Linked DNA regions of Rattus norvegicus. The protein of the gene in region 2 interacts with the protein of the main gene of each other region in a pairwise test. Links are inferred from orthologs where the notes say so. Each region holds a gene or a part of one and is shown on either strand. Other genes may lie near its edges. The genes, in order: Psmc2 and Psmd5.

Region 1 (4,433 bases), on a different chromosome or scaffold from region 2:
ATGGAGTATATGAGGCCAATCCCAGGTCGCCAGACTCTCAACAGGGGTGTTAGTCAGAAGACAAAGTCGAGCTTAGCATGTAAGTCGCTGGAGGTGTGTGGCTTAATGAAATGTTTCCCAAGATCTCCAAGAACTAATAGAGTTGAAATTCATCATCAAGAAGGTGGGGATACACCAGAGGAGGCAGTGAGCAGCTGAGTAGCCTACTAGTGACCCCGAGGAAAGCAGCTGCCGAGAAGGACTGATCCTGCCCTGCCTGCCACCTTCCATAACCTTTATAAACTAGAGAGGGAGAGAGAGGTTAGCTGAGAATCATGAGAGGAGACAGTTCCAGACGTGAATGGAGGGAATCACCAGAAAGGGAATTCTAGAGAAACCATTATAGGATACAATGAAGGAAAGTGAAACAGCAAAGAAGACAAGCAATAGAATTCGGTTAGAGAAGCTTAGTAAGGCTACCTAGTAAAGCAGAAGACACAAGACAACTGAAGTCACCATCTGCTCAAAGCCACTGTGTGAGTCGCAGTGATTAGACAAATGATATATACTTCATCCACATATACCATTGCTTCCGAACTACGCTGGAGAAAAAAACTTTAGGTGACTTCTTTGTAACTACATGACCATTTGGTATGAAGCAACACCAAGATTTACATCCAGGTCCTCCTTCTACTGAGTTTGTCCTTTCAGCTGTTTAGGCAAGGAGAAAGAAGGAAAGGAGAAAGAAGGAAAGGAGAAAGAAGGAAAGGAAAGGAGAGGGAAAGAACGGGAGAAGAAGAGCGAGAGGGAAGGAGAGGAGAGAAAGAAAGACAGGGAGGGAGGAGGGGGAGAAAAAAGAGAAGAAGGCAGGAGGGAGAAGAGACAATGAAGAAGATGGGTTGTAGACTGAAAAGAGAATAGATTTTCTCAAATTATGCTCCTAAGACAAAGTAGATATTAGTATATTTAGAGAAACGAAAGGAGAAAATTCTAGAGAAACACAAACGGAACAGTGACTAAGTCCCAGGGGAGAAAGGAGAGGTAAGACCAGGAACAGAAATGACATTAGATTTGACAGAAACTGGCAGAGTCCTCTGAGGCAGAACTGAGAGAAAGGTAACATAGAAGAGAACACTTGGGGAAAGAGAAAAGTCACCCATCAGCTGTTTAGCACAGGGGCTAAACTGAGGGCTTAAAGAAGAGGTAAAAGGCTTGACTGAGACTACTCTGGCCAAGTGGGGCCAACAGTCACAATAATCAGCAGGAGGAGCCACAGGAACTGGAAGCTTAAGCTGAAAGTAAATTGACCAACACGTTTGAACTGGTTTGAACAATGTGGATAGCCTATAAGCAGAAAGAGACAGGAAACAATGAAGTTCCCAGAGTTAAGAAGAGAAAGCATAAGGTATAAAGTTTGCTACTTTATAAGTGAAAATGGAGTCTAAGAGTCATCAGATTAGGATGACAGTCACCTGAAGTCAGTGATCCCAGTGCCATTCAAAAGGATGCCACAGAACCAAGACAGGGGCCAATAGAATATGGGGCTTGAAAGTGCAGCAACCTCAGGGACAGGCTTAAATTAAATAAGGTCATATATCTGCCGGATCACCTCAGGAAAAACATTTAATTTCATCATCTAACATGGAGGGAATTTTACCTTCACAATGTTTCTGTAAAGATCACATAAGATACACATAAAATCCAACACTTCAGTCAAACTTGAACTCCAAAATAACCTTAATCCTTTTTTTACAAAATATCACATCCAGAGGAAGACATGGGTTAGGTTAGTATAAACAGATGAGGTACAAACTTTTGAATCTTTCTAATAGGTCCTAAGTACCTGAAACTCTCAATGGTGTAAAACACTTTTAATTGCAGAGTCAATGAAAATTTAAAAAAAAATGTTTTCTTTGGGGGATGAGGCATAAACGGTGGGTGCTAGAAGGGGCTGAAGTTGTTAAGAAAGGGAAGAGCTAGGCATCGCCAACACTGAAAAATAGTTTTGTTTTTTTTTTTGGTTCTTTTTTTTTTTTTTCCGGAGCTGGGGACCGAACCCAGGGCCTTGTGCTTTCTAGGCAAGCGCTCTACCACTGAGCTAAATCCCCAACCCCAAAATAGTTTTTAAGGTGAGAAAAGTTTAAAACAACGCGTGAAGATGAGACTAAAAAATGTGTGGGGGCAGAGATTACATCCAAACGTTGACCACATCTCATACACCGAGTTAAAAAAAAATGTCAACAATCTAGTCTCTACGGGGAGTAATTTGGCAAAATGACATCCTTGCTACTAGAATTTAGCCTGAACCTCCATGTGGTAGGTTATAAAACACGGTCATTTGTGAACTGGAGCATTCTAAATCTCTATCAATAATTAAATGTTATTGTACTGCCACGATATAGGACAATAAGCATCTGCTATCATAAAATCTCTAAATTCATGATGCTGATATACTGCAAGATACATTATGATTAAGACACGCGCGAGCGTGTGTCTAATATATACTTCCATATATAATAAAATATCTAGAAAAATGTAAAATGACTCTTTCTTGGCTGGAATCAGCACTGGCTCGAATCTAGGGACAGGATGAGACAGTTTATCTCCTCTGACTCGAGTTTTGAACCATCGTCTTTCAGGATAGTCCCTACAGTGATAGCACCAAGCTGTTACAACTGGGAAGGAGGAGATAGGGCCGGGAGGTAGAACTCAAAGCCCACCAGGCTGGCCACTTTTTGAAGATCTGCAAGGCCACACTGGACCCAGAACTCCAACGCCTGGTAAACTGTTCGAATAAAATAAATAAATAAAAAGTCAGCCAGCAGGAGAAGTGAGTAAGGAACAGTTAAGAAGCAGACAGGGCTGCGGCCCAGACCGGTCACCGCTTGGGTCCAAGGCCGACCGGTGCCAGAGCCGGTCCCTCCCGGTTGGGAGGGCGAGCCCGTGTCCTCTCACCTCGGATGGGCTTGTCGTCCTTCTCATCCTCTTTGGTTTTCCGCTGGTCTGCACCTAGGTAATCCGGCATTTTAGAAGCCGCAAGCCCCTCCGCGTCTCAGTGATTACACAGCACGTTCCCCACTTCCGCTGGTGTCTTCCCTTTTAATTCCCCACCGGAAGTAGCTCAGCGCTCTGGCGCGGGTTCACCCTGCACCTTGGGACTCCACGCACTGCTGACTGGAGGGAGGATTATTACCTGTTATGAGACATTTATTTACCCCGCTCCCTCACAAGTCTGGTCTTTTTAGGTACCCGAACACGAACTTCCAAGACTAGCCCTGGCTCAGTTGATGAACTTACATCCTGATTTAGTCATTAATGAATAATACACACAGCCGGGTAATGTAATCTCTAAATATCTACTTCCTCTTTATCTCACAAGATTGGGAAGGCACTGAATAACCGTGTTTGTAAAATGCCTGGCAGTTTAGACACAGTTGTTGGCTAGATGTACAAACTGAATAAAGGTGATGCATTTCGGTTAGGGAGTGCACATCCAGGTTATACAAAGAACTACAATTTAACAAGAAAACAACCTGGATTTTATGATGGGGGGGGGGGCATTTAAAAGATAAAGGGAAAGGAAGGTAGGTAAAGGAGATAGACACATCCCAATAAATGGACGTATGAAAGGCTGTTCAAATCAAAAGCACTTTTTTCTCTTTAGCATGACTTTTTTTTTTTTTTTTTTTTTTTTTTTTTGTCTTCTTAAGACTGGGGCTCTATGTGGTCCTGGCTGTCCAGCAACTTGTGGTGTAGATCAGGCTGTCCTCGAACGTACAGGTATCCGCACCCTGGAATGCTGTGACAAAGGCGTGTACCACCACACCCGACCCATGGATCGCTATTATTTTTAAAAAAGAAAACAAAGTTTGAGGGGATGTTGGGGAAAAAGTAGATCCTTTTTACACTGTTGGTTGTGGAAAACTGAAAACAACTATAATAAAATCTATATACACTAGTAATCCCATTTCCGAATATCTAATGCCGAATAGTTGAAAGTGGGATTTCAAAAAGACACTCGTACAGCCATGATCATAGCTGCATTAGCAATAGGCCAAATAAAGAATAGATCGAGTGCATATGAATGGATAGACAAAAATGTGGTATGTGAATATATTACTATTTGATCTTAAAAAATTCTGTGACCATTATACTAGTGAATACACCACTCACATAGAGACAATGTTATAATGTAATATATAATTAATTACAGCTAATATAATAATACAATAATATATAGTTATATGATTCCAGTTACATGAGGTACCTAGCGATCAGTGGTAGTTTATGACTGAAACCTCAGAACTTGGAAAACTGAGACATGATTTTCACAAGTTAGAGGCCGGCCTGAGTGACGTTGTGAACTAAGTTCGTTTTTAAAGTTATTTTCTACGTCTCGCCCTTGTGCGAAAAAACAAAAACAAAAACAAAAAGCAAAATAAAACAATCCTTTT
Region 2 (3,814 bases):
TGTGAGCTTGACAACATGAGTTCAAGCCCCAGGTCTAATATAAAGTAGGAGAAAACTGACTCTATGAGGTTGTCCTCCGAGCTCCGCAGGTGTCCTAGGTTAAGTGTGCCTATACATACACACCTCTCCTGCACCACTCCCCTCATTCACAACAATAACATCTAGGAAGTGAGGAGGGGTTATGGATGAGGAATCAGATTCCTGCATGAGTGGGCAATGCTGTTGCCAGAGGAAATGGGCGATTAAATGAAAATCTCAGCAACTCCCTACAGTTGGGAGGTCCCAGAGAGCACCTCCCCCATTAAAGCAGGCTATACCCATTGCCCTTGGCTGTCCATCATGACTAAATGGCAACCCTATATTCCTGAAGACGCCCACAGTTTGACTGCAAGACATAGAGAAATCAATTAACTGGCAAACTTCTTAGCTGACAGGCTCCCATAGTACCATAAACTGCTCTATGCAGGATTCAGGGGAGGAAAGACATCATTGTTCTTGCCTAGTGCTGGACCTGAACGCTGCCTCTCTGACCTGCAATGGCACAGAGTGTAATGACTGCTGTGAGGATAGCCACTGCTCTGACTGGATTGAGGCCTGCTCCAAAGCACAGAATTCAGGCTTGGTGCTGTGAGCCTTGACAAAAGGCCATACATAGCTGGGGGCTGGACAGTGTCCAGCACCCACATGGAGGTTGTAACTCCAGTTCCAGGGGATCCAATGCCCTCTCCTGGCCTCTTTGGGCATTGCACACAAGTGGTGCACAGACACATATCCACGTAAACACCCATACACGTAAAATAAAATGGCCCATGGCTGAGGAGGTCACAGGTCATGGGGGTGGGGTCCTATTGCTGTCTTGCTAGCTGCTCATCTGCTCATGTTTGTACTGAGGCTTGTGCAGCTTTCAGCCTTGCTCAGAGATGCTTCTTTGTGCAATGGGCAGTGAGTGGTTGGGAGTAAGTGACTTGAACACTCGGCCTCAAGGGAGACATTTGTGTCAAGGCTCCTCAAGCCTCAGGGGACACTGCAGATGAGAGGGCAGAATGTAAGGGCTGGAAGGTGGGAGGAGGGGACAGTCTTGCATGTGTGGCCATGACCTCATGCTCTGTGCATATGGGCAGCACTAATTAGACAGGATAATAGAAAAGACAGCAAACAGACATGAAGTTGGAGGGGGCAAAGGAGGAACAGGGAGAGGACATTGGAGAGGAGTGGAAGCATGTGTATGAAACTCTTCAAGAATAAATTGGAAAATGCCATTACGAAGTTTTCAGTCATATATCGAAGGTGTTTTTGTTTGTTTTTGAGACAAGGTTTCTCTGTGCAGCTCTTACTGTCCTGAACTCACTCTATAGACCGGGCTGGCATTGAACTCAGAGCACCTGACTCTGCCTCCTGAATGGTGGGATTAAAGGTGTGCATCACCACTGCCCTGCTTTGTTCTGTTAGTTTTTTTTTTTTTTTCTTTTTTTTTTTTTTTGTTTTTCTTTTTTTCGGAGCTGGGGACCGAACTCAGGGCCTTACGCTTGCTAGGCAAGTGCTCTACCGCTGAGCTAAATCCCCAACCCCGTTCTGTTAGTTTTGAGTCAGGGTTTCTCTCTGCACCCTGGCTGGCCTGGAGCTCAGACCCTCCCCGCTGGGGGCTGGGCTAACTAACGTGCACAGCACCCAGCACACTCGCTTAAACTAACCAGTGCGGTGCTGACTCATCCTCCCGCACAGCCCTCTGCCCTTCAGCAACCTTCCCGTCTACTTACTGATAGGTACAGAAGAGAGGAAACTGCATCCAAACACCTAATTTTCAGCTCTGTGGAAGCATTCTTTGCTTGATAACCTATTCTCGTGAGGAGGCGTTCAAAGCGGGTTCCTGTGAAGAACGATGTGACACATAACACCTACCATTTTAACACTTACCATAGCCAGTGCTGCCCATCTCGCTCAGTGCCGTGTTCCATCTCCAGGGCGCCCAACAACCCAAACTGAGCCGAGGGACTCGGTAAGCAAACCGCGCCCTCCCTTCTCCTTCACTGCTCTCTGGTAAGAGAACCTTGTCTGTGATATCTCGCAGTATCTGTCTCCCATCCCGGCTTGCTGGTCTTAGCAAAATGTCTTCAGACTGTCTCTGTGCAGGGGCTTGACTCATAGCCTCACACTTTCACAAAGTCAAATCCCATCACATGTAATTCATGTATCCATCACGCGTGTTACGGTGTTTCTGACTGTTCTGAGCAGACTAATTCTGCTGTACACAGGAGTACAGACACTGCTGGAACCACCGCTTTCCATGTTGTATGGCTTACATCTGCAGGTGGAACTGCTGGCTCACATGCTAACTCTGTTTACTTTTCCTGTGGAACTTCCATATTGTTTTCTATAGCAATTGTACCACTTCATATTCCGGTAAGAAAACGCAGGAGCTTTTCAACATCTGAACACTTGCTATGCTTTAAAAAAGGTAATGGCCGTTGTACTGGGTATGAAGCGAAAGCAATGTATTTTCGTGCACTATAACTATCGGCCTAAAGCATACCACTACGTTTGCTGCCATTGTGCATGTTGGTAAGTGAGGAATGTGAGGCCCAGAGAAGGCACGTAAATGAAATCATACAGCTTCCATCAGTGGGAGCTGGGGCACAACATGAGCTATGCCATAAAATGCAGTGAAGGAAGACAGTAGCAGCAGACCACTCAGTTTTTGTTGGGGGAAAACCTAATAGAGAGTGAGGAGTAAAAGTGATCATGAGACTGGGAGACAAGTTCATGATGAGGGTAAAGACTGTCCCCCACAAAAGTCGTTTCTGCAACAGTTATCCCACCAGCAGATGGACCTGAACATGGAATCCTGGCCAAAGATACAAAAGCTGAGACAAGGCACACCAACCTGTCTTCTGTAAAACTTGTTTCCCTTCAACACTGGATCCCAGGATTCCAACTGTGTCTACAGCCACACCAATCATAGTGGGGTCTTGACTGTCTGCCATTGCAAACACTTTCTCCAGAAAGACAGGGTAGCGCTCACAGATCTGCTGAGGACTATCCATGACAGCCAGGTTTCCAAAAAACTTCACAAATCCTAAAATATTTACAGAAATACACTTTAGAGAGGGGTAAGAAACACAAATTGGGGGCTCCATGTTTCCAGGGGAATATCAATAAATGCAGGCGGGAGGAGGAGACAGAGAAGCACTGAGCTGCCTACAGAGGGAAGCCAAGGAGACTCAAAGGCCCATCCTGTGATTCTGAGAACAAAAATACCACAAGGTGTCAATGGGCCTTGGGGGAGACGTAGAGGACTATCTGCTTCAGGCCAGCCTGCTTATACACTGCTTTATAGCCAGGGAGGGAGAGAAGGAAATGGAGGGGAGAGACAGGGAGGGAGGGAGACAGGGAGAACATGGGAACACCAGTGGTTGGGCGGTAAGCCTGAAGACATTACTGGCAGAACTGCTCACCAGGTGCAATCGCTGTAACAGTCCATAGACCACCCCACGGGGCATTGCCCTCGGTCACCGAGAGTGTGAGGAACCCATCACTTCACCGCAGACTGCACGGCTCTGGATACAGGGCACGGCAGTACTAATCTTCTGATATTTCTCACTCAGCTGTTGATTTTTTGAGATGGGGTTTCTCTTGTGCCCCTGGCTGCCCCAGAATCACTCTATAGACCAGGCTGTCCTCAAACACGGATATTTGCCTGCTTCTGCCTCCCAAGAGCTGGGATTAACAGCATGCACCACTACACCTGGCTCTCACCGAATTCTTAAAGAAAACCATCGAATGCTCTAAAGAGTGCCTATGTTTTCATAACATCAGT

What was found.
Region 1: the proteins of Psmd5 (region 2) and Psmc2 interact in binary tests that used the Homo sapiens proteins (3 or more experiments, as listed by UniProt). The link is inferred for Rattus norvegicus from reciprocal best matches to the Homo sapiens genes PSMD5 and PSMC2.

The regions. Positions count from the first base shown.
Region 1 is NC_086022.1:14,159,311-14,163,743, forward strand, and holds the start of Psmc2 (26S proteasome regulatory subunit 7), read right to left. Parts: upstream 3,081-4,433; 5' UTR 3,005-3,080; coding exon 2,935-3,004; intron 1-2,934.
Region 2 is NC_086021.1:38,534,877-38,538,690, forward strand, and holds part of Psmd5 (26S proteasome non-ATPase regulatory subunit 5), read right to left. Parts: intron 3,074-3,814; coding exon 2,882-3,073; intron 1,868-2,881; coding exon 1,758-1,867; intron 1-1,757. UniProt on the Homo sapiens protein: Acts as a chaperone during the assembly of the 26S proteasome, specifically of the base subcomplex of the PA700/19S regulatory complex (RC).